4 linked regions of the Notamacropus eugenii genome follow. The protein of the gene in region 2 interacts with the protein of the main gene of each other region in a biochemical or structural test. Links are inferred from orthologs where the notes say so. Each region holds a gene or a part of one and is shown on either strand. Other genes may lie near its edges.

Region 1 (7,493 bases), on a different chromosome or scaffold from region 2:
TTTACTTCTCCTCCCCTATAAGCAGCTCCCAGCTGTGTCTTCGTAGGACCCCCTCACTATGCCCTGAACACACTAGGTCCCATAGAATGTAGGGACCCTAAGGGCAAAAAACATTTGGTTTTTGCTTTGTATCTCCAGGGCCTAGCATAGTTCTTGATTTAGAACCATTGTTTAATCAATGCTCACTAATTAATTGATTACTACTTCTATGCCTTCATTTGTTCTGGCTCCCCCTTGTACATCTCTATTGTTTTCCCCACTGTTCTTTCTCTGTCAAAATCCTACCCCTCACAAGTTCCACCTATTGTAGGAAGCCTTTCCTAACTGTGCCATAGTGACCCCCTCCCTTTCCTAAGGTCCAGAGCATTTGCTATCTTTTGCCAACTTGGACCCTCCATTACATTAAGTCTAACATTTAATTCTGCCTTGTCCTAATTCTGTTTTTGATATGTGAATCTTCCTAACTGGACTATGAGCTCCTTGTGATCAAAGACCTTGTTTGCTTCTTCTCTTGCTCCCCTCCTTCAAGGAACTGAACACTGGACCAAGTACACAATAACTAGTCAGTAAAGACTTAGAAAGTTCCTGGATGGGGGTTATACCCATGGTACCTCCTAGGGAGGTGGATTGCTTGAGCATGATAATTCTGAACTTCAGTAGGGGTTGAGTTTAGGAATTCAAAGCTACATTAGGGCTAAAAAACCAAGCCAGTTTCTATAACAGGTTTGGTATTAATGTGGTAAAGGGGAAGGGTTACTGGAGGGGGGGTTTTACTAGGCTGCCTAAGAAGGGCAAACTAGTCCAGGTTAAAACTACAGCCGGTCAAAGCTCTCTTGCCAATTGGGCCCATGAGTGTAGACTGTACTTCCAATCTGGGTGAGATAGAAAGACCCAGACTTCTCCTTCCACCCCCACAAGAAGACAGAAAGCTAAAGAATGTCAGAGCTAGGGGGACCTTAGAATATAAAATATCAGGGTTGAACATAATCTTAGAACATAGAACATAGCATATCAGAGCTGGAAAGAACCCTAAAGCATGGACTGTCAAAGTTCAAAGGGATTCTGGAGATCATTTATCCCAACCCCTGCATTTTATATATGGGGAAACTGAGAACTAGAAAAAGAAAATAATTTCCCAAAAGTGAGGCAGTGAAATAATGGGAAAGCTAGGAATAGAACCTCCAGTCCAGAGTTCTTTCCATTAATCTCTCTGGGCCTCAGTTTCCTCCTCTGTAAAATGATGGGGTTGATTAGATCATCCTGAACATCCTTCCCAGTCCATATTCCATTATTGTCATTGAATTTCACTTTGGGATCCTAAATGGAAATCATATGTAAACATTCATTCAAGAGATGATGAGTGAATAGGCCTTTTAGTTTTTTTAAACATAATTAGTTTTCAGTTTTCAACAATCACTTCCATCAGTTTTAAATTTTCTCCCCCTCTCTTCCCCTCTCCCTCCCTGAGACAGAATGCAATTTTATATGAATTCTACACATTCTTAAACACATTTTCACATTATTTATGTTGTATAGAAGAATGAAAACGAATGGGAAAAATCATGAGAAAAACCAAACCAAATGAAAACATAACACAAGAGAAAAGAGCTTCATTCTGAGTTCTAGTTCCATACTTCTTTCTCTGGAAGTGGATAGCATTTTGCCTCAAGAGTCCTTTGGGGATGTTTTAGGTCCTTGCATTGCTGTGAAGGGCTAAGTCTACCAGAAACAGTCCTCGCTCACTGCGGCTGTTACTGTGTACAGGATTCTCCTGGTTCTGCTCATTTAACTCAGCATCAGTTCATATAAATCTTTCCAGGCTTTTCTGAAGTCATTCTGTTTGCCACACTAGTATTCCATTGCATTCATATACCACAACTTCTTTAGCCATTCCCCATTTGATGGGCATCCCCTCGATTTGCAGTTCTTGGCCACCACAAAAAGAGCTGCTATAAATATTTTTGTACATGTGGGACTTTTATGATCTCTTGGGGACACAGCCCTTTTAAAAAGTGGTATTTCTGGGTCAAAGGGTTTTAGTTTTTATTAAGATCAGGTTATTCTCTATCTTCTATGGATTTTCTCCTTTAGGGCCTTCTTTGGCCCCAAGGAGACCCCGAGCACCAAGAATATAAGCTCTGGTAGTTTCTGGAAATTTGGAAGGTCTCTGGGACCCTAAGATGCCTCTGTTGTTCAATCTTGCTAAACTCAGAGAATTTTCATTATCTGAAGACCAGCCACCAGAGGATGGTTCTTTGGACCACAGCAACTCCTGAACCCAGATTCAAAGGTTTAAAAGAATCGGAGTCTGTATCAAGGGAAAGAATACCTACATTGACGAAATAATGGATCCTTTCAAGTCCTATAGGTTTTCCATAGTTCATCTTCCTACTGGGAGGGATAGAGGGTTGTCCTGGACCCTAGTCAGTCTAACCAGATCCAGTGTTCCCCCTAGTAGTCCCTACCTTGTTCTTATCCAGTCTGCCAAGATGGTACCATCCGTCTTTTACAGCTGCACCAAAGCTAATGCAAACTCGGAACTAAGAGGGTTTGCTTAAGGAGCCCCACCTCCCACTCCACCCCCTGCCCTCCACCAAAGGGACAGTATGGGCCTGGATTGCTGAGAACCCACGTGAAGTAGTTCCTCTAAAAAAATCATGAGTGACCAAAAACCAAACCCACAACCCCCCTGATGGCAGAACTTAGTACTGCAGAGGCACCATAGCCCTCAACTGGGAAAGAGCTGGGGAGCTGACTAGTTTGCCATAGCCAGGGCAGGGGCCAGCCACAATGTTCTTGCTCCCTTGTCAGGGCTGGAATCAGGAGTCCCCTGAGTTATTTGCCTCCTCCACCTCTGAAATTAGTCCCTATCTCTTCTATTGAGGTCCCCATTCCCTCACTACCCTCCCAACCCCTACTTCAGGCTCTGGGAACATTTTTAAATGCTTTCAGTTGAGCATCTGCCTTCATTGAGTATATAGATCACAATATTTAGAGATCAATAGCACCTTAGAGACCATCTGTCACAGAGATGCAACCATTTTGTGTTTGTTGGACCCCTTGGCAGTCCACTGAAACTCATGGACCCCTTTTCTGAATAGTGCTTTTAAACACAGAAAACAAAATGCATAGGATTACCAAGGAAACTAAAGGTTAATAAAAATAAATATATAATTTCTTTTCCCATCCAAGTTCATGGATCCCTCTGAAATTTATTCATGGACCCTCTCCATGAACCCCTGGTAAGAACCCTTCATCTAGTCCAAATCCCCCATTTCACAAATGAAAAAAATGAGTCCCAGAGGGTTTAGGTTACTTGCCCAAGGTTACTATGTAGTAAATTCAAATCAAGCCCCTCTGACTTAAAATCTAATGGTCTTTGCATTATACCACATCAAACCTGACCTAGTGAAAATCTCCCAGGTCTCTTTACCCACATCTCAGACACAAACACTTTTGTCGTAGCTATACCATCTATGCCCTCTATACAACCCCCAATACATGTTGTTGGGGCGTAGGGCTCTCACAGGTAGTTGTCCTCTCCTTCCTCAGCTCTACCTGGGCCCTCCTCCTCATCCCCACTGTCCTCTTCCTCTCCCTCCTGTGCCAAGGCCTCGATGTCATGGGTGATGCCAGTGAGAATTCGATTGAAGGCCTCGGCCTCTGGGTGGGGAGCTCGACTGTCATAACTGCGCACAGCAGAGGCCGACGTGGAGCTCATACTTCGCTTGATCCGGCCAAAGCTGTCAGTGAGTATGCCGCCCTCTCGGATTCCCACACCCTCCAGGAAGCCTTCAAAGTAGCCGATGTCCTGGTCCGGAATAAAGGGCCGCATCCCTGTAGGGGCCAAGAGGCAGGTGGCTGCTCTGTCATCCCCACTGTCTCCTGCCCTATATTTCCCAGCCAAAGGGAAGCCCCAGTCTGAGCCTCTGAATTAGCAGGACTGGTATCCTCAGCCCCATGTAGTTCTGTAATAGAGGGAGTGGCTGGGAATTATAGGGTCATAGATTGAGAGCGGGAAGGGACCTCAGGCATTTAGTCTACTCTTTCATTTTATAAATAAGGAAACCGTCACCCAAAGAGTATCACTAGTAAATGGTAGGGGTCAGTAGTAAATAGCAGAGTCCAAATTTGAACCCAGGTTCTCGGACTCCAATCCAATGCTTTTCTCATCTCTCAGAAGATATATCAGACACTGAGTCGAAATGGACTTAACGGGATACACTGCCAAGCCTTCTCATGTACTGTTTCCTGGGCATTGCCTAGCAAGGTCCCACAGGTAAACATGCTTTTAGCATGTTTATGAAGTCATTAGAGGAAGCTCTAAAAGGACAGGTACCACATCCTCAGTCTTATCTCTCTCAGTGCTCTGCATAGGGTTCTTAATCAATAGGATTGTTGAATGAAACATAGGAATGCTTTTCTTATGGTGGTGATGCTAGTGGTCATTAGGATGGTTGTGAAGGGTGGATGGTGGTAATGGTGTTAATATCTAGAGAGTTCAATAAATTTTTGATGAATTGGGTGGTGAGGGAAAGGTACTGGGGATAGATATTGGGGTGATGGTGGTGATGATACTGGTATAATGGGGGTGGAAATAGTAGGTGGTGATAGTGATGACCATTATCACAGGGATTGTGATGATGGGGGGAGATAATGGGGGCAGAGGTAGTCATAGTGATAATTGGGCAAGACCCTATAGAGCATTTATGGATCACCAAATCCAACCCTTTCATTTTAAAGAGGACAAAACTAAGATCCAGAATGAAGTGACTTGTCTAATATTATACAGGTAGTATATGGCAGATCTAGCATGTGAACCCAGTTCCTTGTGGTCCAAATCCAGCATTCTTTCCACTGTGCCACATGATGGTGACTGTTAATGGGGAAGGGGACAATAATGATAGAGGCAGGGTCCAGGGCTGATTCTTGAAATGGGAGGACAGGTTACAGCATGCTCACCCAAGAGAAGAAACTTCCTCTTGTCCCCATAGAGCCGAAGAAGATGTCCACAGTACTCTTGCACAGATAGCCCCAGCCTGTATTCCCTCAGCAGCAGGGCAAATTGCTGGATCTCAGGTGGTGACAGCTTGTTTCGCAACTGTGGGGAGGAGCCAGAAGGTGGGACTAGGCAAAAGAGAGGATAGACCTATGGCGGGGCCCATGTTCCACAGAATTTGGCAAAGTATGGCTAGTATGACTGCTGGGGGTGAGACTGTAGGCAATTCAGGGGGCAAAGTGGAAAGGGAGATGGCTTGCAATCTCAGTGCTCTATTACTCAGAAGTGTTTTGGGGAACACAGTCCCATATATCCCCTCTCTGTTTGCTTCCTAGAGAATCAGGGAGAGGATGGAGACCTAGGACAGAACTCAAGTACAGGGACACATATCTCTGCCCTCTGTGCTATCAGAGGACTACACTGAGAGATCTGAGCATGGGAATAGAGGTGGCAGGTGAGCAGGGGTCCCACGAGATAGGGGAGTATGTAGACTCCCAGGGAAGGAAAGGGGGAGGTGGGAGCTCCCATGGGCACATGAGGGAAAGAGGCAGAGGTTTCATTGGGCACCACTGGATGTGAGTATGTGGAAGGAGAAAGATAGGTGAAGTAGACAGGGACATGAATGGATGTGGGAGGATAGGGGTGGGGATAAGGAATGCTGTGAGTGAGGCTTCCACAGAGTGCAAAAAGATATAGAGGCTCAGGAAAGAGGGCAGGAGAGCTGGGGTAATCTCCAGAGCTTGGAAAAGTGGCACTGACCTTGCCTAAGCCTTACCGTCACCATGTAGTCCTGCAGCTGTTCCAAACCCAGACTGCTGCCATCACTTTCACTGCAGTGAGATCCCTGGAAGGAGGGTGTGGATGTCCCACTATAATAGGCTTCGAAGGTGTCATGGGAGCCATTACTGGAAGGCATGGATAGAGATAGATGCCCTGAGTCACTGCACTGAGCCTGCTTGACCACCCCCTCTTAATCCTCCCCTCAGCCGAGGTCTCTTCAGGCCAGTGTGTAGTTTCCTAGGGTCTGCCACCTTAGTCAGTCTGTCAATAAGCATTTGATAAGCACCTGCTATGTCCCAGGTACTGTGCTGGGGATACAAAGAGAGGCAAAAGATAGCCCATGCTCTCAAGGAACTCACAGTCTACTGAGGGAGACAACATTCAAGTAACTATATGTGAACATGTTATGTACATGATAGACTGAAAATAATCAGCAAAGAGAAGGCACTAGAATTCTGGAGGACTGTCCTGGAACAGAAGTATCAGATATCCAACATAGACTGTGAGCTCTACCGGGTCAGGAATAAATAGCATGCGCCTTAACTCAACTTTGCTTCCTCACCTAGGGCCCTTCACACTGTAGGTATTTAATAAATATGGAATGTTTCATAAATGAAATCCCAATTACCTGAGGAAGATGTTTAGCTTTGTGGCTCCATCCCGGGCTTTCAGACTGAGCCACACCTCCCCTTCTCTTCCTTGTCCCCCCTTACCTAAGCACATGCTATCACACACACACACACACACACACACACACACACACACACACACACACACAAAAGCACAAACGAGGATGGTTGTGAAGGGTTGATGAAAGGTACATACTGGAGCCCAGAGCCAGGGCTAAATTTTCAGTGTAGGTAATTTATACCTAAGAAATGTGCAAATGCTACAAATCAAGGCTTGGTTTACTGTTTTATCAATTGTCTAAACTTAAGAAAGTGTTAAAAATGCAGATTAAACTTAGAAGTGTGTGCATATAATTTTTTTTCCCCTGAGAACCCATTTGTTAAACATTGACCAGCACAGCCCTGACTGAGGGTAACAGTGACTTTGTTGATGACAGGTGATTCAATAAATCTCTGATAAACATAATTGAATGGTGCTAGGGTTGGGGCAGGGGGAGGATTTAGTCATTGGAGTGATCATAGGATCAGAGAATGAGACCTGGGAAGAATCTTGGACTACAACATATGCTGCTGGCTGTTCCCTAGGGGAAATCTCATCTTTAACCTAGGATCAGGGTATCAGTTTTAGACACGCAGAGAAATCATAAGCATGTCACATCTACCAAGGGCACTTAATATAATTTCTCAATTATATACAGGGTTAAAAAAATCCACTTATTGAAGAAAGCTCAAATGTAGCAGAAAGGACCCTATTCTTGAGGGCAAAAGAACTGTGTGTCCCAACACTTTTCCTTAAAATGATGTGACGCTTGTTGATTGGTGTGGCTAATTTGTGAGATGACCCCGTGTTACCTTGTACTTGCTTTGTGGTATAGTGAAAAGTGATGGAAATATTTGGACCCAAATGCCAGCTCTTCTGTTACAAGATGATTGATAAAGTTTCTCTCAGCTCTTTTATTTATTGCAGTTATTAGAGTCTCTCCTAGCTCTTCTATTTACTGCAACTGATAAGGTCCCTTTAAGCTCTCAGGCCTGTGATCCTGTGACATGTGTAGCTTTGAGTAAGTTTCTTCCTCTCCCTAGGC
Region 2 (7,120 bases):
TTTGATGTAGGAAATGATGAACAATTCAAGGTATCTCTGCCCCCTTGATCTCTGGTCCCCTCCCTTTTCCAGTGGGTTAAAGTCTATGTTGGGAGTTGGGGGCAGGAGCAGAGAGAGCACCTGTTTGCAACTTCTCTTTCTTGGGGGCACTGCCAGCTCATCAGGAAGCAGGCATGAAGGCATGTGGGGAATGGAAGCCAAGGAACCCCCTCTTGCTAGTTCCATACCAGTCCTGATCCCTTGAAAGATTCCCCACACTACTCTCCTGTTCAGGATTCCTTTACTGAGAAGGGGGAGGGGAGAAAGGATGGAGCTCAGCATGAACCCAGGAATCAACATTGTCATTTTGGAAGGGACAAGAAGGAAGGCTGAGAATGGCATTGCTTCTGTCTGAGAGATGACTCATACACCAGCAAGTTAGAACCAAGTGCCTCTACCCCTCTTGCTAACAAGGACACCCCTTCACCAGAGCCTTCCTCCATGCCTATGAATCAGACTTGTATTTCTGTGTGCAGAGATGTTCTTGAGAATATGTCTTTGAGAATAGTACAAGTTAGTGTCTAGAGAGCTAGCCTCAGAGTAAGGCAGAGGTTCAAATCCAGCCTGTGACAGACTGGTTGGGTGACTCTGGACAAGTCACCTTAACAACTCTTTAAGATTGTAAATGGCATAAGAGTTTTTGAGCTGCATCAGTAGAGAATTTCCTCACTCCCATAGGAAAGACACAGATTTTTTTAAAAAAATAAGTGAGAATATATGATGTCTTTGCCCCTGCTCTACCTCTTTTCTCAAAGCCTCCCCCCACCAGCCATAACCACTCCAGGAATGCTTTTGTACCCTGGTACATTGCCTTGGGCTACTATGTCAAACGACATCCCCCAAAATCTTTTACAGTCCCCACAAGACAATCACATTAACATATATGTTTATGGATTCTTGTGTGCTTGGGGAGATGGGACAGAGAATTAGAAGTCATTGTCTCCTACCCACAGAAATAAAATCCACCTCACATAAAAAAAGGGAGAGGAAAGGGCAGTAGATGAGGGTGGGAAAGAGCAGGAATGAAGGACCAGGAGCCTGAAGTCAGTAGTGCAGTCATTTCTAGGGAGAAAGTAGGTACTTGTGGTGGGTTGGAATCATCCAAGTCCCCAAATTATCCAGGAACATGGGGAGAAGTTATCAATCAAAGGCCCTCTTAGGAAGACAGTATTGTGGAAAAGGAAGAGACTGTTCTCTCCTACTACTCCCCCTGGGGATCCTCAATGTGAACCTCAACTCCAACATTCCTCTACCCCTGACCAGCGTTAGGACAAAGGGAGCATAGAGAGACCCAGACGAGGCCGGATGCCCAGAGGCTGAAAATCCAGATAAAGAAAGGCCTGGCCAGAACTAACCCCCCCCTTCTTCTCTCCTCCCCCAGGAATAGATCCAGGGGCCAGAACTCCTGGTTTCCTTGCTGGTAACTTCTCAGATTCCCAGTCTGAGGGAGAGGTAGCTACTGTCATCCTTTTTCTGCAACCACTACCCCTTCCTTATACCAGACTCCTCCTCAATTCTTCCAGCTGGGAGTGTTCACAATTCAAGGTCCCAGAGACTAAATTTAGACCCAGCAACTGTGGAGAAACACAGGTGTTTTTCCCACTCCCTTCACCCCTACTGTGAGTGGGGCACAAAATTCACCAAGCCCCAAATTGAGAGAGATGGCAGTAGAAATGTCTAATTCTTTGATCCCCTTAAATCCCACCAGCATTCTGTGATCAAAGATACCCAAGAAAAGGGGTTGGGGGGGAGGAACAATCCTTTCAGAACTGTCTCCTTAAGTTCTGTCTATAAGAGGAGACAGACTGTCTAAGCCTCCTTTTCCTTCACGTCTCCAGCGCAAGCAAGAAGTTTTACAGTGGTCGGATTTGCTAAAGTCTAGATTTCGTGAGTAGCTTGGGGTGAAGCAGACAGGAGTGGTTTTCTGAAGTTCTTTATCACTATCACCTGGACTTGGCCCTCTGGCTAATCTCTGCCCAGCCCGCCCCCACCTCCACCCGCACCAGCACTCACACAAACAAGCAAGAAAGGGGAGGGGCCCGGACCTATTTTTCTAACACAAGGGAACAACTGCCCCCTCCACCCCCCCCAAATCCTATTCTAGCTCCTCCCAGAGCCGGCAAAACACCGAAACTGGCGGTGCCTGAAACCGGGGGAACCAGGGAGACGGGACTGGGAAAAGAAGTTAGGCTCCAATTCTGATTCACTTCTCGAGAAAATATAACACAATACATCATCTCTACAAATTGGGACCCCCAGAATGCCTGGGTTCCACCAGATTGGGGAACTGAGAAAGCAATCGCTTCCCCAGGAGGATCCTCAGAAGGCGGGCGGGAGTGGAGGGTTGGGGGGACGTCCAGCCAGTTCAAGCTTCGAGCGCTTTAGAGCGGGGCCACCCCGAGGGTACTGAAGAGGGGCTGCAGGCACTGACCCCTCTGTTTCCGAGGCTCGCAAGCCCCCGGGTTCCTCAGGCTCCTCCCTGCACTTGGAGCTCCCGGCAGCACCCAACCTCCCCTGTCCCGCAGCCCCCGCTTACCTGCTTGCGAGCTGCCCACCTCCGAGCCCCTGGTCAGGTGGAGGAGCCAGCCCAATACCTGCAGCTCCAGGAAGCCCTTCATAGCTGCTGCGTGCCGGGGGTAGGGAGCCCGGGCCGGGGCTCCGAGGCTAAGACATCGGGATTGAGAAAGGCACCTGAGCCCGGAAGGGAGCAGGCGGAGGCGCAGTCCGTCCAGGTAGCAAACGCGAAGTGGTGCTGGATCTAGAGCTGGAGCAGGGACCGGGGAGGGAGGGCAGGGGGTGGGGGGCGGAGGGAGAGAGGGAAGGGGGGGTGCGTACGTGTGTGGGGAGTGGGGTGAGTCACGGCCGCTCCCGGACCCGCCAGCGCTGGCAGCGCCTCCGACTTTCGCAGGGTTGAAGTTCGATCTCGCCCGATTCCACCCGGCTCGTGCTGAGCTACCCTGCACCGCCCGCCCCGCCTTACGCGGGCCCCGAGTTCATTGGCCAGACGGTGGGAACCCCCTTGCTCCGCCCAATCAGAGAGACGGAGAGGCTCACCCTCACTTTCCCCGAGGAGAGGGGGAGCAGAAAATTCCTAAGACTTGCCCCCACGCACACCCCCGTGGATAAAGAAGGGATTCTCAACCAGGCTGGTCCCGCCCATTATGTAAATCCCACCCTCCTACTTCCCTGGCCGGTTGGTCCACTTTGGTGTTTTTATCCCTCTTGAGATGGGGGGGGAAGGGAGCAGCTTCTGCCTCCTGCTCCTCCCCCGCCTCCCTTGGGAATGAGACCCCACGACTGAGCCTTCTGGTCCGCAGGATCCCTAGCCTCTCCGAGGCTCCGTGAAATTGCACTGTCTCCGGATGCTTCCCCCCTCCGAACCCGGCGCCTGCCCAGTCTCCCAGGAGAATTTGAGGAGGGGAGGGGGTACCAGTCTGGGAACAGACCCTAAGCCCCGCCTCTCCATTCCCACTCTGAGAAAGGGAAGGGAAAGCAGGGGAGGGGCAGACCCACCCGGGCCAGGGTGGGGCCAAGACTCAATGCACCTGTTGCTGCCTGCCCCTCCCCTACCCCCCTCTTCTGCCCCCCATGGCCGATCTAAAGGACAGCTGCCTCTCCGCCATCCCTTTATGAATTCTCCCAAGTGTCCCAGAGCTTTAGTGCCTTCTTTTTGGTGGGGGGAGGGGATAAGGGGGCCCCAGACAAGTTAGACTGGTTGGTCTCTATCACTACTGCCATCACCCTAGTACAGGACTTTGTTCCTACTCACCTGAACCATTTGAACAGCACTTCCTGAGTCCACTTCTCCTCTGGCCACTTTTCCTTGTAAACAAAGTCGCTTCTTTTGTTTACTAATCTTTAGTGTCGACCTGTTGCCTACCAACTGAAGTCCAAACCTCAGCCAGTCAACAAACATTTTAAAGTCTGTACTATGTGTTAGGCTATGTGCTAGAAGCTAGGGAGAGAGATACAGTCTCTGCCCTCCAGATGAGTGAATACAACTATGAAATGATGCCAGTGATTGGAGAAATTAGGAAAGGACTCTTGGAGAAAATAATAATAATCCTATAATAATAGCAACATTTATATAGTGCTCACTATGTGCCAGGCACTGTACTTTAAAGTTACTATCTCATTTAATTCTCACAACAACCCTATGAGGAAGGTACTATGATTATCTCCATTTTACAGATGAGGAAACAAGTAAACAGAGGTTAATTGATTTGCTCAGGGTCACACAAGTGGTAAGCGTCTTGAGGTCAGATCTGAACTCAAGTCTTCCTGACTCCAAGCCTAGGGCTCTATCCCCTGTGCCACTTAAATGTTCACTTTAGTTTTGAAGGGTCTCGAAAGGAAAGAGGTGAGGCAGGACATTCCAGATATAAAGGACAGCCCCATGCAAAGGCATGGAAGTGGGTGGTAGAATACTGTATGTAGGGAAAAACTAAGAATAACTAAAAACATATATATATATATATATATATATATATAACATGTTATATTAGGTCACAATGTAATATAAATAATATGTATTATATAACATAGCAAATGATATAAGACACAAAACATAAAAAGCATAAAAAGTAATACCATTAGATGGATGGATGGAATAAGTATTGAGTGCCTACTACGTTCAGAAGCAAGTAACAGCTGTATGGCTCAAGTCCAGGAGCAAGTGGAGCCTCAGTTCCAGCTTTTAAAAGTCTGAATCCTGCAAAGGAATAATCAGAGCAACTCTGAACCAGCAGACGTTCTTAGCTGGTTTCCCAGCTCCAAATCCAGGTAAGAAATTTACACAGCTCAAATTAGGGAACAGTGATCAGACTTTGTCCTGAAACAGATCACTTTGGGAACAGTAAACTTTTGTAGATCAGAAGCCTAAGCTGTTCCTGACATCCTGGAATAACACAGAATTTAACACCCCAAGAAAGCAACAACACCCCGGACATTTCCTCCAGAAGAGAGCAGAGCCTAGCCCTAATATCAACTCCAAAGTCAGGAAGTAATATGGGAGAATGAGCAAAAAAAAAAAAAAAAAAAAAAGGATAACATTGTAAAATGCTATCATAGTGACAAAGAACCCTAAAGACACAAATCCAGAAGAGAATGACTCCAAAACATCTGCAAAGAAAGTCTGAACAACAACACAAATTCAACTAGATATTTATTGTAGCTTATTTTGTGGTGGCAAAAAGTTTGAAGCTGTGGGCATGCCCATCAATTGAGGGAATGGCTGAACATGTGATGGAATACTATTGTGCTGTAAGAAATAATGAAGGGGTTGTCTTCAGAAAAATCTGTGAAGATTTACATGAACTGATGCAAAGCGAAGTGAGCACAACCAAAAGAACAATCTAACAGAAACAGCAATATTTTAAAGATAATTGAGTGTACAACTTAATAATTATGGTTAATACAAATGATCTAACACAGTTTCAGAGGAGTCATGATGTAAAATGCTTTCCACCTCTAGATAAAGGATTTGGTCTTAGAGTGCAAGTTGAAGCATGCTTTTTTCCTTTCTTTATTTTCCTTGCCTTTTTGGGGGTGGGTGGGAAGGGAACATGGTGAATGTAAACATGTTTTAGATGACTTCATATATAATTCATAATGTAACTTCATATACAATGGGTATCATATTTCTTGCTTTTTCACTGGATTGGGGAGGGGTGGAGGCAGGGAGAGAACTTGGAGCAGAAAATTGAATTTTAAAAATAAATTGAAAATTCTTGTATTAAATGAAAAAGAGTTAATAGAAGTAGAGTCAAGATGGCAAAGTGAGAAATAGCATTTTTTTTTGCCTTAGTTTCTCTACCATCTCCTCCACAATGACCTAGAAAGCATGCCAGATTAAATTCTGAATGAGAAAGCCAAGAAAATTTCACAATGAATAATTTTTTCTCAGTCCATGGCAGCTTTGGAAGATAAAGAGGTCTGCGGACACTGGGGTGGAGGGTGGTCTGGAGCTTAATAGAGCAACAGGTAAAAGTAATTGTGGTTCATGGCAGTAGCAGTGGCAGAAAGCAGCCCAGTGCCGTAGGATGGTAAGGGGACTGAATACCTGGGCAGAAAGAGATCCTAGGGCACCCTTGATCTAGCTTTGGGAGCAGGAATGGTTGCCATTTAGCATCTATGTTGCCCATTATTTATTTTGGGGTAACATTTCTAGGGAGGAGAGGAGTCTTCATGGTCAGAAGGGAGCAAGCGTCTTACCTGTAAGGTAGCAAAGTTTAAGGAGCAAGGAACAAGTTTCAGAAAAATAGCTGTATGTCTCTGAGCCCAACAGCAGAGTTGGGGGACTCAGTTCTAGCCTTTAGTTCTGCACATAAGCCTGCAGTGGAATAAACCAAGGCAGAGGGCCAAAACCAAAGGGGAGCCAGTGGTTCAGTCATTCTGAACCTGCAGAACCTCCTAGGGAGCTATGACTGGGTCTGGCAGCAGTCTGTGGAAACTCAACCACATGCAAGCCAAGAGATCCCAACCAGGTCAGAAATTTGCAGAGCATAGACCAGACTTCTTCTTGGATCACATCACTGAAAATTTATAGAGCCCCCAGACTGAGCTGTGAAAGCAGTAGAAAGACATAAAAGATAGTTCACACTTGACATCTCCTGCCACCCCAGAGGTAAGCAGAGCCCAATACTAACATAAAGTCCAAAGTCAAGAAGTAGACTGGAAAAATGAGCAAATAAAAAAATAATAACTTGATTGCAAAAAAAAAAAATGACTGGTGATAGGTGAACTCAAAACATAAACATAGAAGAAGAAAATGACTTGAAAACATTGACAAACAAAGTCTTGAAGAAAAATGCATATTGTATACAAGCCCATCAAGAATTCCTAGAAGAGTTTAAAAAAGTGATTTTTTTTTTTAAAAAGCAAAAACAAACTTTTTAAAAAATAAAATGGGAGTAATGGAGAAAAAAATTGAGAATAAAAATCAGAACAATGCAAGAAAATTATGAAAAGAGAATTAACAGCTTGGTAAAAGAGCTGCAAAACCTCACTGAAGAAAATAACTCCTTAAAGATTAGAACTGGCCAAATGGAAGCTAAAGACTCCACAAGACATCAAGAAATGA
Region 3 (7,202 bases), about 120 Mb from region 2:
AGTGATCACTCAGAGAAATCTGGCCTAACCATCCATACTAGACAGAGCAAATGGATGAATGCATGTCTATTGCCCAGATTTCATTATGCATTTAGATGACACCCTATAGAGTTGGTCTAACAGTAAGTATGTCTGAAACTCCAGGCACAAACTTGAACAAGAGAAAAAGAACAGGCTGGACTGCTTTTTGGAAACTGCAAAACTCTTTTACTGACACTAAGCTTTTCATGAAAGTAAAGGACCATCTTTTTAATACTACCATTTTACCAGTGTGGTTATAAGACCAGAAACAGCACTGGCTCTGAAAAATTAAAATGAATTTCACACAGAAGTCAATGAATATCATGAGTAGTTTGAGCATGCTGCAACATAAAACACAGAATTCCAAAACAAGAATAAATATGTCATCAAGAAATTGTAGAATAGGAAGACAGGTTGGTCACATGACAAAGGCAAGTTCAAAAGTGAGCTCCACTTATTCCCTGTGGCAAGTCTGACAGGCTATCAGCTTCAGTCTCATAATAGCTAGTGTTTATATAACACTTGAAGGTTTGCAAAGCATACTCAAATCAAAGAGATCACAAGTCCACTTAAGAATTTATCTCACAGTAACTAAATTCCAATAAATCTGGCTATTTCTCAAGAGTCCTAGATTGTAAATTGCAGTTCCTGGCAAACTCAAGGCTCTTCACCAATTGGGCCTTTAAAAAAATAAATCTTGAATGGTATCTCTATTATGCATTGACAAAACAATATCTAGAACTGCAATTTTATAGAGTGCTACTAAATGTATCAAGCCTCACAATAAGCATTATAGTGCCTCAGTAAAATCCACAGTAACGTGAGTGTTCTAGCTACATACACAAAGACAAACTGAACGGAAATTACAAGTTATCTAGTTTATAATGATCTAGATGGTTAGGTCATCAAATTAGTCCAAAAAGGGACTTTTCTTGAGTAGTTTATGTAAATGGGACATAAGATGGTCTTAGAATGGAGGGAAAGGCAGGGCTGAATCACATGTGGAAAACTGCATGTTTTCAAGTATCCTAAACTGTTCACTGATGCATGTCTGTCTCCTTCAAAATGATACAACATGAATGAGAAGAATCACAAAATATTCTTGAGTCAAAACAAGTAGCCAAAGGGTAATGGAAAAGATTAATAGTCTTAAGTGGGCTGTAATGTTATTACAGCTATAATCAACAACACTGGAAGTGGCACAGAAGACATCTCGAAGGAAATGTATGACCAGAAAAAGAGGTGGGCTAATCGTGTAGTAAGAATGAAGAATAACAAAATCCCAAGTACTGAAAATAGAGGATGGCTTTCAGCATATGGGTTTTATGGGAAAATATGGCTAAGAATCACAGGGCATAAGAAGATCAGGAAAAAACCTGCACTGATACAAGTATCTGCAGCAAAGTAATTAGACAACCAAAACTACTCATTCCAAGAATCCAAAAAGCCTTCATCACAATGCTTACCTCCTTATTAAAGAATAATGACTCATTCCAAATAACACAGCTGTCCAAAATAGCAATCTGTGGCAAAGTTAATTGGAATTTAACTTTCCCAACCATGTCTCCTTCCCGGTGAGACCAATGTTTCTATCTGGTGTAACAATAATAATGATCTGCCATTTCCACAGCTCTTGAAGTTTGCAGAAGCATCAGTTACCAAGTGTCTCAAGTGGATTTAGAGGAGGTCTCTACCCACTATAACACGTGCTGGGTCCAGATACTGTAGCGTCTTGCAGTGAAACTGATTTATATTTCAGCAACTTGCCTCTGGCCACGCCCACCACCTCAAGAGACTGGCCCAAGGCAGGTTACATCTATAAAATCCTGGTTTTTTGGAGGGGGAGGAGAGGGATAGGGAGAAAACTTTAAAGAACTAAATTCAATTGTAGAATATTAGTCGTCGCTCAAAATGTGTGTCAACTCTGCAATTTGTTGCTTCCTCTGAACTTACAAGATTGCCACTTTTTCACAATACAGAATGGAAAATGAAAACAAAAATATCTGTCAATATAAACAAATCACTACACACAGTGAGATCAACTATTCGTATCCCCCCCAAAAAATGAATTAAAATGCTTTACCCATGGAGTCCTACAGGTTTTAAGTAATGTCTCCCACCCCTACTAACACCTCTCAAACCCGAGGTCACTTCGTTCCCAAGGCAGACTGACTAAACGAAGGAGAAAAAACCTATTTGTCAGGAATTAAGCTAAGAATATCCAAAATAAGACCTCGTCCTTTTCATACCCTAGGGAAACTAAGGAAATGGGGGGAGTTCAACTACCACAACCCTCCAGGCCTCGGGGGGCCTCCTCCCACTGCCCCCACCCCACGCTGTGCCTCCTCCCACTGCCCCCACCCCGCGCTGTGCCCCCTCCATTAGCGCAGGCGAGGGGAGGGAGAGGCACCCACGCGGAGGAACTGGGAGAGGGTGGGGACCACACAGTCCTCCTCTGGAGACACCAGGCGACCCCCCGACCCAGCAGCCGGGGCAGGGCGGGGCGGGGGCGGAGCCATCTCCAGCCACCTCCCCTCCTCCCTTATCTCCCATCCCTAGGGGCCCCAGAGGGCCAGGCCCGTGCCTCCGACCTCGGGCGTCCAAGCTTGCGCCCCACCCTGCACCCAAGAAGCCCCCCAGCGAGCCGGGGGGAGGGTGGGCAACAGCCCCGGGGCTGGGAGGTGTGCGGGGCGGGAGGGGGGTGGAGAGGAGGAGGAAGAGGAGGAGCCCCCGCCAAGGCCGCCGCCTGGGCTGCCGAGCCCCGGGCGCCCCCCAGAGGGCGCGGGGTGTTGCCCCGGACGCGGGTTCGCCCTTCCCGCTCCCCCAGCGTTGCCCGGGGCGACGCCGGGCGCGCGGAAATGCACCTACCTAGAACCTGACAAGCAGGAGCCCCTCAGCCCCGGAGCCGTCAGTCACCACTTCGCGTCACGGGGGCCTCGCCAGCCAATGGGAGCCGCCGCCCCGACCCGCTTCGGCCAATCCCGTCGCGCTCCGGTCTCCGGGCTCCCTCGAGCCCGCGGCCAATGGGGGCCGGAGAAGGCGGGAAGCCCCGCCCCTCTCCCAGCCCCGGCCTCCGCCTCCGCTTCCCTGGAGGCGGGTGCGGCCGATTGGCCGAGGCCCGGGAGGGGCGGGCTATGGGCCTTGGTGGGCTCCGGAGAGAGCGGCCGGAGGACGTGGGTGGGGCGCCCCTGGGGAGGGCGAGGGAGCGTCCGCGGGAGGCGGGCCGGGCCGGGCCTGTGAAGGGCGGCTGAGGGCCTGCGAGCTCCCTGCCTCCAGCTCCGTCCTTCCCGGGCCCCCTTGGGAGCCGTGATGTGGAAGGGAGCCTCCCTTAAGGAGGAGCTTGAGGCCTGCGGAGGGGCAGTGACTTGGCCAGGGTCACTCGGTCAGAAGGGCCGAGCCCGGGCCTGACGTCTCCAGGATGGGGGTCCGGCCTGGCCGGGGAGGCTTGGGCGGAATGAAGAGCCGTCCGGCAAGTGGACGGAGGGCCCCCACGCCCACCCACGGTCACACGGGGCGGTCCCAGGATCCACCTTGGGAAGCAATTTAAAACTTTACGGAGAAGTTACTTCCGGGAAGTCTGCTTCCGGAGCACTTGAGGACGTCGTGGGGTCTGGGGTCCTTCCCACGGCCCCTCCACCCTCCCGGAGCTGGGGGAGAAGGAGCGGAACGAGGCCGCGGCTCAGCACGTGGGTGCAGGCCCGGCGTGCGAAGCCTCTTCTCCAGCCTCCCCGGAGAAAGGACCCCGAGCCGGGCACTTTGGACCCGAGGCCGCTGGGGAGGCTCCGACCGGGGCGCATTTAAACGGCCGAGAAACCTGAGCGAACGGGATCTCGGAGTCCACAGTCCTGGGAAGGAAGAAGGGATCCCCTCCTTGGTCATTGGCCTTAGCTCTCTGGACGAGTCTGACTGCCTGGCATCGCCGCCCCTGGCTCTGCCTGCTGCTGCCCCTTGGCACCCTCTCCTCTGAGCTCCGCACAGGCCATGTTTCCCACCCCCTCTTCCTTCTTCCCTCCACGCACTCAGTGCCTCACTCAGTCTGGCTTCTCTCCGTCTCCATCTTCAGCATTCGGACACCATCGGCCTTCCCCTGCGCAGTTGAAATAAGTCACACAATCATTCTGAATGAGTCCACTACACTTTTATACCGTCTCAACTAACCCCTCACTGCTGCTGGGCAGCCTGCCGCATCAACTTATTTCCCCCACTCTTGAAACCAGCTTTTCCAAACCTTTTTATCCCTCCTCAAATTCCTATGGCTCCCACTACCCCCTCTCCCCACCCTCAGCTAAGAACCTTGCCTCATATTTTACAGGAAAAAAATACGGCCCTTTGTTGGGAGCTCCTTCTTCTCCCTGCTCCTGATGTCCCTCAGGTGCCTTCCACCATTGTCTTCTCTTTCCCCTCGGTAGCCCTGGACAAGGTCAATCTTTCTCTCTACACAAGCAATCCCGCTGTCATCCCACTCTCACTTATGTTTAATCTTTGTATGTTGGCTTCTTCTGTACTGCCCATAAACGTATTCATGTCTCTCTCATCCTCAAAAAAATCTTCACTTGCTCCTTCCATCCTGCTGTCCCCTATCTCGCCTCCCTTTTGTGGTTAAACTCCTTGAGAAGGTCATTTGCCAAGTCCCTCTTTTTACTTTCTTAATTCTCTATAGTCTGTTTTCTGACCGTACCACTCCACCAACACTTTTCTTTCCAAAGTAGCCAATGACCTCCTAATTGCAAAATCCAATGGCCATTACTCAAGTCATGTTCTTGACCTCTCTGTAGATTTGACACGGTCAATCACCCTTTTCTCCTTGATCTTTCGTTCTCTCTAGATTTTTGTGACACCACTGTCTCTTGGTTCACCTTCATTTTTTTAACTTGTCTCTGCCCTTCGACTGTGAGCTCCTTGAGGTCTGGAGCTGTCTTTTACCTCTTTTTGTATCCAGAGCACTTAGCATGCTATCTGGCTTACCAAATGTTTAATGAGTGATTGACTGAATGACTTGCAGTTGGCCCAAGTTGTATTTGTAATGGACTGAAAAAGGGTATAAATAATTCTACTTGGTATAGATTGGCGGGGGAGGAGAGTGGCAAATTTGAACATTCTGTATGCTATACTTTATGTTAATAAAACCTTTGATTTGGGGAGTATAATGGCAAGTAAAGTTAGGATCTTTTGCTGTTTTTGTTTTAGTGTAATCAAATGCCTCATTGAGTCTTGCCTTTATGATCAAGAGTCTTTACTAGGAATAAAGTACAGAAACAAGTTTCTTTAACCATGTGTATATGTGTTGCATACCTGTGAAACATGGACAGTCTACCAGCACCATGCCAGGAAACTGAATTACTTCCATTTGAACTGTCTTGGAAGATTCTGAAGATCACCTGGCAGGAAAAGCCACTGAAAGACACTGAAGTCCTTGCTTGAGCTGAATTGTCAAGCATTCAAACTATGCTTCGAAAAGCGCACCTCCCATGGGCTGACCACATTGCTCAAATGCAAAATGAATGCTTGCCAAAAAGACTGTTTTATAGAGAACTCACATGGGGCAGGCAATCACATGGTGGTCAGAAAAAGCGATACAAGGATACTCTCAAGGTTTCTCTCAAGAACTTTGGAGTTGACTATACAACTTGGGAGACAGTGGCACAGGATCACTCAGCATGGTGTGCCCACATCAGAAAGGGTGCTGTCCTCTAGGAGCGAAGCAGAATTGAGACAGCACAAAGTAGATGTAGGATGCGCAAATTTGGGGTCACTACCCCAAATATTCCCCAGACTGTCTGTGCCCAACCTGTGGTAGAGCATTCCGAGCTCATATTGCTCTGCTCAGCCACAATTGGACACACTGAAATTTCACTTTTATCATTGTGATGTAATTTTGGTCCAGAAGGACAACAACCAAAGATCTTCCCCATCCATAAATGAGCCTACCTATTAAGGGGAGTTTGATTAGGGAAGATTTATAGGAACACCCACCGCTTTTGTTAATGAGGCACTGGCTCTCAAGGGTGGGTATGCCCTCTGGCTCTAAAAAAAAAGGTATAAATACTCTGAGGTTGAGGTTTTACTTTGGGGCTTAGTTTTTGGTAAAAAGGTTTAAGTGCCAGATGAGGACTCTGGGAAGCTGCTAAGGAACCCCCCTGCACCCCAGCTTTGAGAACACAGATGTGGTACTTCCCTCTCTGGTAACAATGGTCAGACAGCTGTAGCTGTCTGTTGAATTATGGTCACAGAGGAAGCCATGTCTGTTGATTATTTTGGGGCTTACTGACTGGAAATGTTTGTTTAGTCAGATGAGGACTCTGGGAAGTGGCTAAGGAGCCCCCCAGCTTTGAGAAACCAGATATCATGCTTCCTTCTCTGATAACTATGGTCAGACAGTTGTCTATTGAATTCAAGCAGAGGAAGCCATATCTGTTGATCTTTTGATTTCTCTCTATTTTCTTTGAAATTCAGGGTTCTGACTCCCCTGAACTAACTGAATGATATATGTACTTGGTTAAAGGCATGATACATGTGCCTGATTAAAGTGATTGTTAACCCCTTGAAAGTTGCTTTCTTTTTGTGAATATAGATCTAAAAATCTGTGAAAGCAGGCCCTCCTGGTATCACATATATATGCAGTGTGTATGTTGGGGTGCTTACTGATAGGGGAGGTGGGGAACTGTTTCTGGAAAATCTTTACTCTGTGTGTTTGTGTCAATAATAACTTATGTTTACACATGCATTAAAGTGCTTTAAAGTTTTCAAAGCCCTTATGTTTTGTCATTAGTACCTAAAACAACTCAGGAATTGTCTCTATTTACAGATGAGGAAAGAGTCTCAAAGAAGTTAAGATCATTCTGTAAGTATCAAAAGCAGTATTTGAACCAGGTCATTCTAGCTGCAGGTTGGGCACTTAGTACCTTAGGCTGCTATTTGTAGAAATGAAAATACTTCTTGATATAGTAAAGCTAACATAAAACAGGAATAAATTACAGCTGAGAACAGAGAGATTTTTTCAACAAGCGAAGCATTGTGGTACAGTGGAAAAATTGGACTGAGCTTCAGGAGATCTTGGTTCTAGTGCCAGTACTGTCACTAATTAGTTATATCCCCTTGGGCAAATCACTTTACCTCTCTGTCTCTCTTTAACTTCAAAATAACAGTAGAATAAAAGATTTGTTGTTTAGTCATTTCAGTCA
Region 4 (7,869 bases), on a different chromosome or scaffold from region 2:
GACTTACAGTGTAGCAGGGGCAGCAGGAATGACTGTCTAGAGAGGTTGTAACATAAATTCAATTTAATTTAACCAGTGTTTAAGTGTTTACTGTTCACCACTAGTCACCTAGTTCTGCCCCTGGCCTGAGTTGGCCCCAGGAACATGGAGTGATTTCTACCCACCCCCTTCTATATAAGCTGAAACAGCAAGGCTTCGTTAAGGCAGAATGAGGAAGGAAGGAAAACTGGAGGCATATTAAATAATTACCCAAGAACCATATAACTCCTGGTATAGATTGAACTCCAAGGGGAAGTAATTGAAGAACTATAGGAACAAATTATCAAAAATTGCGTATGTGGGGAGAAGATCTTTAGCACAGAATCAGTGAGAGGAACGGTAAGGAGAAGTAACATGTCATAAAAGTTCCCATGATACATGGGGTTTGGGACCTGGAGGTAGGGAAATGAGAACACCAACATGTATCCTCTCTGGTTATGGGAGTGTTGCTTTCTTAGCTCCTAGCCCCTTAGATAGATCACCAGTGGTCAAGTCTCAGGAATAACCCCAAAGTATGATTTTGGACCATGATCTAGGGAACGTATATTGCCTTGGTTTCACAGTGTCAGCACATTCATCCCACCAGCCTTTTAATTGCTTGTCCTACCTCCTTGGACTCTGGATGGTACTACCTGTACAGCTGTTCAGCTCTTATCTCCAGGCCAGTTTCATGGAAACTTCTGACTTCCTACTGATAACATCTATTCCCTGATAGTGGAAGGTATTCGACAGAATCTCTTCGAGCTTCGTTCTCAAACTGTCAAAGTGAGTTTCTTTCACAAATGTTCAGCTGGCTCAAATGTTAGCGAAAACAAATGATGCCAAGAGGGTTGTAAAGGACTCATAACTCAGATCATTGGTGTTCTTTGGGTATACTCACCAGTGGAGGCTGCAGTAGAGGAGAATGGGAAAGAGGGGAGGAAACTTATTTTGTTCCAAGGTCTTATCTCCAAACCATGATTGCGAACCATGAAATTACACAAACCAAACTCAGGTGGCCAGCTTCTCATTCGCTAATTAATTTGGGTATACTTGAGGGCAGCAGCGTGGCTGGGCTAGCATCCTTCATCAGTTTGTTACTGCCAGTGGTGCACTGGCCTGTCAGAAGTTCTGAAGAAGCCATGTAGGAGGGGAAAATCTGGAAGTGGACACCCACCAGCACAGCTGTCTGTGTTTGGCAACACAGCTTTCTCCACCCTGCTCCTCCGCCCTACAGAGCTGGAAGGTGTTGCAACACTCTTTCTCTCTCCCCACTAACTAGGTTGAGATTCCAGTTTGTGGTTGTTTTGAAAGTGAGTCCCGGCAATGTCCTTTTTTCTCTGAATTTTGAGAAGCCGATATAGGATTTCTCTCTACCTCAAGCTGCTTGTATTCACCCACTCAGAAAGTAATACCCACTGATCCTATCTTATCCTTCCCCAGGAAGCCTGGCTAAATGACAATCAAGTGGGGCTAGTGACCCACCTATTCTTCTCTGAACAAGGAATTCCCAAAGCTAATACCTCCATTTTTTTCCAGCCCCAAATACAAAACTATAAGCAACTGACAAAGCCCTAAAAGAATCAGACCTTCCCCTACTTTGCACTGTGAAATTTAGAACTTTAACAACGAGTCTTGTCTTGGGTTCAGAGAAGTTAAGTGATTTGTCCAGGGTTACAGTTAGTAAATATCAGAGGTAGGATTTGAACCCAGCTCTTCCTAGTTCCAGATCCAGCATCTAGTATACCACATTGCCTCTTGTGAAAAAGATATTCAAGCTTTTTTTTTTTAAAACCTTCATTCCAAATTATGCCCAAGAGGCTTGGGCTGCAGACAACTTAGTAATGATACTATAGTGATAACTTCAATGAATTTGTTTGGTCATTACCAATGTTTATGATGTCTGCTGAGGTATGGAGGAGCCATAATCTATACTAGTGAAGGGAGCACGCAGACTAGTGAAATCACAGTTCTTTGAGGTACTGACGGTAATGCCAAGTGTGGTGCAGCAATATGCAAAGTAATTCCTTGGGGTGGCAAAAAGTAACCAAGAACAGCAAACTACCACTGGGATGCCTGAACTCTTTTCCACTTGGGGTAACCCACCACTCTCAAAAACTCCTCCTCCCTACATGCCAAGAAAGGTCCCATAGGTCACTACAACAACTACTTTCAGGTTTTTTCTGGCTTTTCCTTTAAGTTGTTCCAGGATTTTTAGTGGGATCCAATCCTCTTCTCTGGGATTGGTAGCTGTAGGAACTGAGCACTAACTCTAGAATTAAGTCTGCGTTCAAATCCTTCCTCTGATGTTTGCTGCCTGTGTGACCTTGGACCTCCCTGAAATTCAGTTTCCTCATCTAGAAAATGGCCTTTCAAGCACTGCATCTATGATCTTATGATCCTAAGCCGCATTGCCAGTGCTAAAGGAGTAACTAAGAGCCCCGTGGGAAGTTACTTCCCAGAATGGCATCCACAAGCAACAAATGTAACGTTCCAAGGGATGACGAGCCCAGACTCCTTCCCTTGGTTGCCTCTTACTTACGGTTCTGTCTCCATTGTCTCTTGTTCAGCTAAGTAATTGTGAGGGACATAGCCTTCTCCTAGGCTCCTTCCAGCTGCATCAAGCTTTGTGGCTCTCCACCAATCTTCCTTCTTCTCTATTACATGAAAAAGGTCCCCAGCCTTAAAGCTCAATTCATCCTCTGTCCGTGCCTCAAAGTCCCAGAGGCTAACATACAGGTATTTGGGACCCAAATGTGAAAGATTTCTTAAATCCATGTTGAGAGGAGCTTCAGGATTCTGGAATCTTTCTTTCTCTCAGGAAGATGTCACTCAGAACACATTTCTCATCTCCTGGGAACTTTAAATATTTTGACAACAGAGAGCTGGCCCAGCTGATCTCTGGACCTCACCCTGACAGAACAACTCAACTTGGAGTGATTGCCACCAACCTGCGGGGCTCTTCCCACAAAAGCTGCACCCCTTTATTCTGACTTCAGTGGCAACCTGCCCTGTGAGCCACTCCCCTGCTGATGTATGACGACAGCGGAACCCCAATTAGATTATTGCCTTGTCATTAAGGTCCCTGGAGAACATATCAGCTCTGAACCAGGATTCAACAGCCCCCCACACTCACTCACACCACTCCCTGACCTCACTACCTTATGCATAAGTCGACCTGAAAGGGACATCTCCATCTCCAGATTATTGTTTTTCTTCTCTTTTTGGTCTAAAGTCACTTCTAAATGATTAGGGGGCAAGACCAGGGATGGAGAAGGAAGACAAGGAAGCAAGGGATTGAGAAAATGAACAGGCAAATGAGGGACCAATCAATAAGGCAATAGGGAAAGGGGTAAATGAGAGGTTAAGGTAGAGAGAGGAACAAAAGGAATTGGATGTCTGGGTATGTCACTTCAGAGGACAGCAACCTCAAAGCAACGAACTTATTGCATTCCTCCTTAAGCTGCTCCTCTCCAGGCACCATGGAGGGTGGCACTGGGAGGGCAGTCATTTTCAGTGATTCATATTAAGTCATCTCTGAAGCTTCAGCAAAACCTGACCAGGAGAAGGTAGATGATGAATCAAAAGACAGTAGAGTCAGCACTCACGATCTGATCAACCTACCTTCTCTCACTCCCACAGCTGCCATCCAAATCTTGCTCTCTTTCTCGGGAAAAAGATACATATCTACTCTTCCTGCTAATGTTCAGTCCAGTCACCTTCCCTCCTTCCATACAACCTTTTGGTTATTAATAACAGATTTCAGGCTTTCACTTCACTACAAAAAATCAGAAAAACAAAATGGATTTTTCCAGCTCTGAAACACTATCATGAAATATTTCTTTGACTTTAGGAAGGTCATTTCTCCTCTTCTGGTCTTTGTTTCCACATTTAAAGTAAGGGGGCTAGACTTCATGATCTCAGTGGTCCCTTCCTGAGGGGTTGAGAGAAGGCAACCTGGGGTTAAGTGACTGACTCAGGATCACATAGCTAGTAAATATCCAAGGTTACATTTAAACTCAAGTCCTCCTGACTCCAGGGCAGGTGCTATCCACTGTGCCACCTAGCTGCCTCAGGCCCTTTCCATTGCCAGGTCCTATGATTCTTCACAATTTGAGAACCTTATTAACACGTATAGCTTGTGAGAATTTAAGAAGAGAAGTGATTATTCTTTCCCCACTTCAATTCTCTCATTCATAAAACTGCCAAAGTGACTTTTCCTAAAATATGGATCTGACTATGTCATTCATCTACTCAATAAACTCCAATGATTCCCTATTACCTTTCAGATCAAATATAAACTCCCCAGTCTGGTATTTGAAGCACTTCACAACCTGGTCCCAATCTTTCTTTTTAGCCCCATAATATGTTACTCCCATTCATATACTTTACAATGCAGTCAAACTGGATTTCTTACTATTCCTCATACTCAGCATTCCATCTCTCATCTCTGTGCCTTGGCAATGGCTGTCCCCCATGACTGGAATGTACTTCTGCCTCATACCTGTCTCTTACAATCCCAAGTTGCCTCTAAGACTCAGCTCAAGCACCACTTTTTATATTAAAGCTTTCCTGATTCCCCCCTCAGAAAAGTCCTCGTGTTTCTTGTGTATATATTTTGCAGATGTCTATATTTGCACATGTTATATCCCCATTTATAGAATGTAAGTTCTTGGAGGACTGCGACTTTCATTTTCATATCCTCAGAGACTAACACAATGACTGACACAATGGCTCACAGCAGGCACTTAATAAATGCTCATCGGTTGATTGAGTCATTGACTAAGTAAGGGTCAGTATGAATACATCAAGATTGTTTTATTTCAGGCTAACCTCCTTTGCTTTTTTAACTAAATTACTAAATTTCCAATAGGCCAAGGGAATGGAACCTACATCACAAAGTCTTTCAAGTCTATCACTGTGGATGACATTGAAAGTTGGGGGCAACATGGTTGAATAAGTAGAAGCCCAACATGTAGATGAAATTAACATACATACACTGCCCCACCCCTCACCCCCATGAAAAGGGTCTCTCAGCTGATACAGTTAACTATACCTTTAGGGGGCATCCCCCATACTAAAGCACTTACCCCATCTCTGGGCAGAAGAGGAGGAAAAGCAAATAGTTGGGCATAGATGCCCAGGAGCCCTACCTCCTAATATTTTGGCACAGGTTGCTCTTGATTCATCTAGTACTTAAAACGTAAAATAATTCTCATGCAATATTTTATAAATACTTAACTTATTTATCACAAATTGGCTACTTTTCCCTTACTCAGAGATCTGGGAAAATCTCCAAATATAACTTTTGTCCAATTTCCCATTAAAATTCTTACCTCCTCACCAATTTCCTTTGACCCAGAAGGAAAATGCATAGAATCCCAGAATTTGAGAGATGGAAGGGGACTCAACAGACATTAAGTTCAAACCATACATAAAAAGAATCCCCATTATGTGCTATAAAGTGCTATTCAGCCTCTGCTCGAAGACGTGCAAGGAGTGGGAACACCATTTCTTCAGAGAGCCTCTTCCACTTTGGGATAACTGCAATTGCTAGGAAGCTTTTCCTGATCTCAAGCCTAAATCTGCCTCCTTACATCCTTCAGTCGTTGTTCTGGGACCAAAGAGAACAAGTCTAATCCCTGTTTCACATGACAGCCCTTCAAATGCTTGACAATGGCTAACGTTCCCCCTGAGTCTTCTCTTCTATAAATTAAGTATCAGCATTCCTCTAATTCATGAACTCAGAAAGAGAAATACACAACCTGTGCTTCAGTTGCTTTTAAAATCATGGAAGGGAAAGATAAAGTTTCCTTCAGTAAGTGTGTCACATACTCTAAACTCAGGCACTTACTGGTTTTACAACCTTAGGAAAATCACTTAACCTCTGTCTGCCTCAATTTCCTCAATTGTAAAATGTGAATCATAATAGAACCTACCTCCCAGGGTAGTTTTGAAGACTTAGCAAGATAATATTTGTAAAGTTTGTTTGCCTCTTTCCCTCCCTCTTTCCTTCCTTCCTTCTTTCCTTCCTTCCTTCCTAGCTTAACTCCTATGAGAAAATAAACATCTTCTCTGGCTTGAAATCTCACGTCCAATCCTTTGTTCCCTATATCTGTTTATAGCTCTTGAATATCGATATTCTCAAGAAACTAGTTCCCAGGAACTAGCTCCTAGACATTGGTTATGATCATTTTTTTAGAGCAGAACCTTCCAGATAAGGAAAAGAGCAAACCTGGGAATATACAAGGCACATTTGGGAGATAAGTAGACAAGTTTGGCCTGAGTGAGAGTTAACACAGAAGTATCATCAATAAAACATTTCAAAATACGTAAAAGAAAACAAAAAGAAGTTCAGAAGGGAATGCAAACTGTGATTTTGTAACTACCTTGTTAAATTTTAATTTTTGTATTACTGAAACTTAAATATACAATAAGAAAAGAGAAAGAAACAAATTACATATTGAAACAAATACAAAATAAGAAAAAAAACATGTCATGTGCACAGCAGAATGTAAGAGAGGATTCAAAATATATAGCAATAAATTTCCATTTCAAGAAAGTCTGTAGAATACATACTATGCATTATATTTAGAACTGTCCGTCTTTTATTTTCTTCCTTGTTTGTTTTCTTATGTTCTCTGCTGTGTACTTTTTACTTTGTTCTTTTTTCCTCTAATACCATATGTATATATATTTTTAAAAAACAAACTACATGTAACAAAAGTCTTCAATTTCATACGCAATCTCATTTTCTTGTTTTTCCCTTATGAAAATGCTTTATTTGATTTTGATTATTAAGTTTATAATTTTAAAAAAGAGAGAGAACTCAAAACAAGACAAAGAGCAAAAGAGCAGCCCTGGGAATGTACAAGACACATTTGGAGGACAAGTAGACAAAAAAATGAAACAGTCCCTGTCTTCAGAGAGTTTATATTCAACTGGAAGGAAATTATTATTAGAAATAAAATTATTATTCCCCCAAAGTGGCTAAAATTCACTGGAAAGGGGAAATAATGGTTCCCAAGACAGAGTTTTCTGTCTTCTTTTATGATATAAGTTCATTATTGGGATCTTTTCCTTCTTCTAGACTACAAACTCCATGAGAACAGCAACCATGTCTTGACTAAATTGTGCATGTCCTCCACATCCAGCACAGTGCTTTATACATAACAGACAGGTAAAAAATGCTTATTGAATTACATTATTTTTATTGTTCAAATAAACCCTGCCTGGGTTTATGTCTGGATTGGACATACTTCTTCCATTAATTTGGTGTTGGTTCATCTCCCATAGAGACGCTAGGTGGCATTCAAAGACTGCATTCCAAACTTCAGTTCATAACACAAGAGAAGAAGGAAAATTCTGGCAAGGATCTCAATGTGGGGGGATGGTGACAAATCCAACTAGACTGAAGGGGTGGGGAACCTGCTACTTCGAGGCCACATGTGGCCCTCTAGGTCCTCAAGTGTAGATTTGTTCTGTAAAACTTGGACTCAGTCAAAAGGCTCACTTGAGGACCTAAAGCGCCACATGGGGCCTTGAGGAAGCAGGTTTCCCACCCCTGGACTAAAATTATGGTTCAAATAAGATTGTAGACACACAAAAAAATGTTGGAAAGGATGGAAGGAGCCAATGTGAGGACGACTTGAAAATGGAGTTTAGACATTCAACTCCCCAAAAGGTGAGGGCTAATCCTCTGAGACACACTAATCCAGTCTCAACTTCCTCAACTTATTTGGACTGTCTCCATTTCCATAGCCACAAGAGTGGTTTGTCCAGGACCACATAGAAGAGGTAAGAGACAAGATTTGAACCCAGGTCTTCCTAGGCCAAGACTCTATACTGCCT

What was found.
Region 1: the proteins of ERBB3 (region 2) and HCK form a complex in vitro, tested with the Homo sapiens proteins (2 studies listed by BioGRID and IntAct, with this or other methods). The link is inferred for Notamacropus eugenii from reciprocal best matches to the Homo sapiens genes ERBB3 and HCK.
Region 3: the proteins of ERBB3 (region 2) and FER form a complex in vitro, tested with the Homo sapiens proteins (2 studies listed by BioGRID and IntAct, with this or other methods). The link is inferred for Notamacropus eugenii from reciprocal best matches to the Homo sapiens genes ERBB3 and FER.
Region 4: the proteins of ERBB3 (region 2) and PTK6 form a complex in vitro, tested with the Homo sapiens proteins (2 studies listed by BioGRID and IntAct, with this or other methods). The link is inferred for Notamacropus eugenii from reciprocal best matches to the Homo sapiens genes ERBB3 and PTK6.

Annotation. Positions count from the first base shown.
Region 1 is NC_092872.1:431,189,188-431,196,680, forward strand, and holds the start of HCK (tyrosine-protein kinase HCK), read right to left. Parts: upstream 3,022-7,493; 5' UTR 2,466-3,021; intron 1-2,465. Other genes in the region: CCM2L (cerebral cavernous malformations 2 protein-like), read right to left, coding at 3,524-3,837, 4,963-5,101, 5,775-5,904. UniProt on the Homo sapiens protein: Non-receptor tyrosine-protein kinase found in hematopoietic cells that transmits signals from cell surface receptors and plays an important role in the regulation of innate immune responses, including neutrophil, monocyte, macrophage and mast cell functions, phagocytosis, cell survival and proliferation, cell adhesion and migration.
Region 2 is NC_092874.1:231,337,029-231,344,148, reverse strand, and holds the start of ERBB3 (receptor tyrosine-protein kinase erbB-3), read right to left. Parts: upstream 3,010-7,120; 5' UTR 2,658-3,009; coding exon 2,576-2,657; intron 1-2,575. UniProt on the Homo sapiens protein: Tyrosine-protein kinase that plays an essential role as cell surface receptor for neuregulins.
Region 3 is NC_092874.1:352,619,497-352,626,698, forward strand, and holds the start of FER (tyrosine-protein kinase Fer), read right to left. Parts: upstream 3,005-7,202; 5' UTR 2,890-3,004; intron 1-2,889. UniProt on the Homo sapiens protein: Tyrosine-protein kinase that acts downstream of cell surface receptors for growth factors and plays a role in the regulation of the actin cytoskeleton, microtubule assembly, lamellipodia formation, cell adhesion, cell migration and chemotaxis.
Region 4 is NC_092872.1:497,212,938-497,220,806, reverse strand, and holds the start of PTK6 (protein-tyrosine kinase 6), read right to left. Parts: upstream 3,004-7,869; 5' UTR 2,797-3,003; coding exon 2,561-2,796; intron 1-2,560. UniProt on the Homo sapiens protein: Non-receptor tyrosine-protein kinase implicated in the regulation of a variety of signaling pathways that control the differentiation and maintenance of normal epithelia, as well as tumor growth.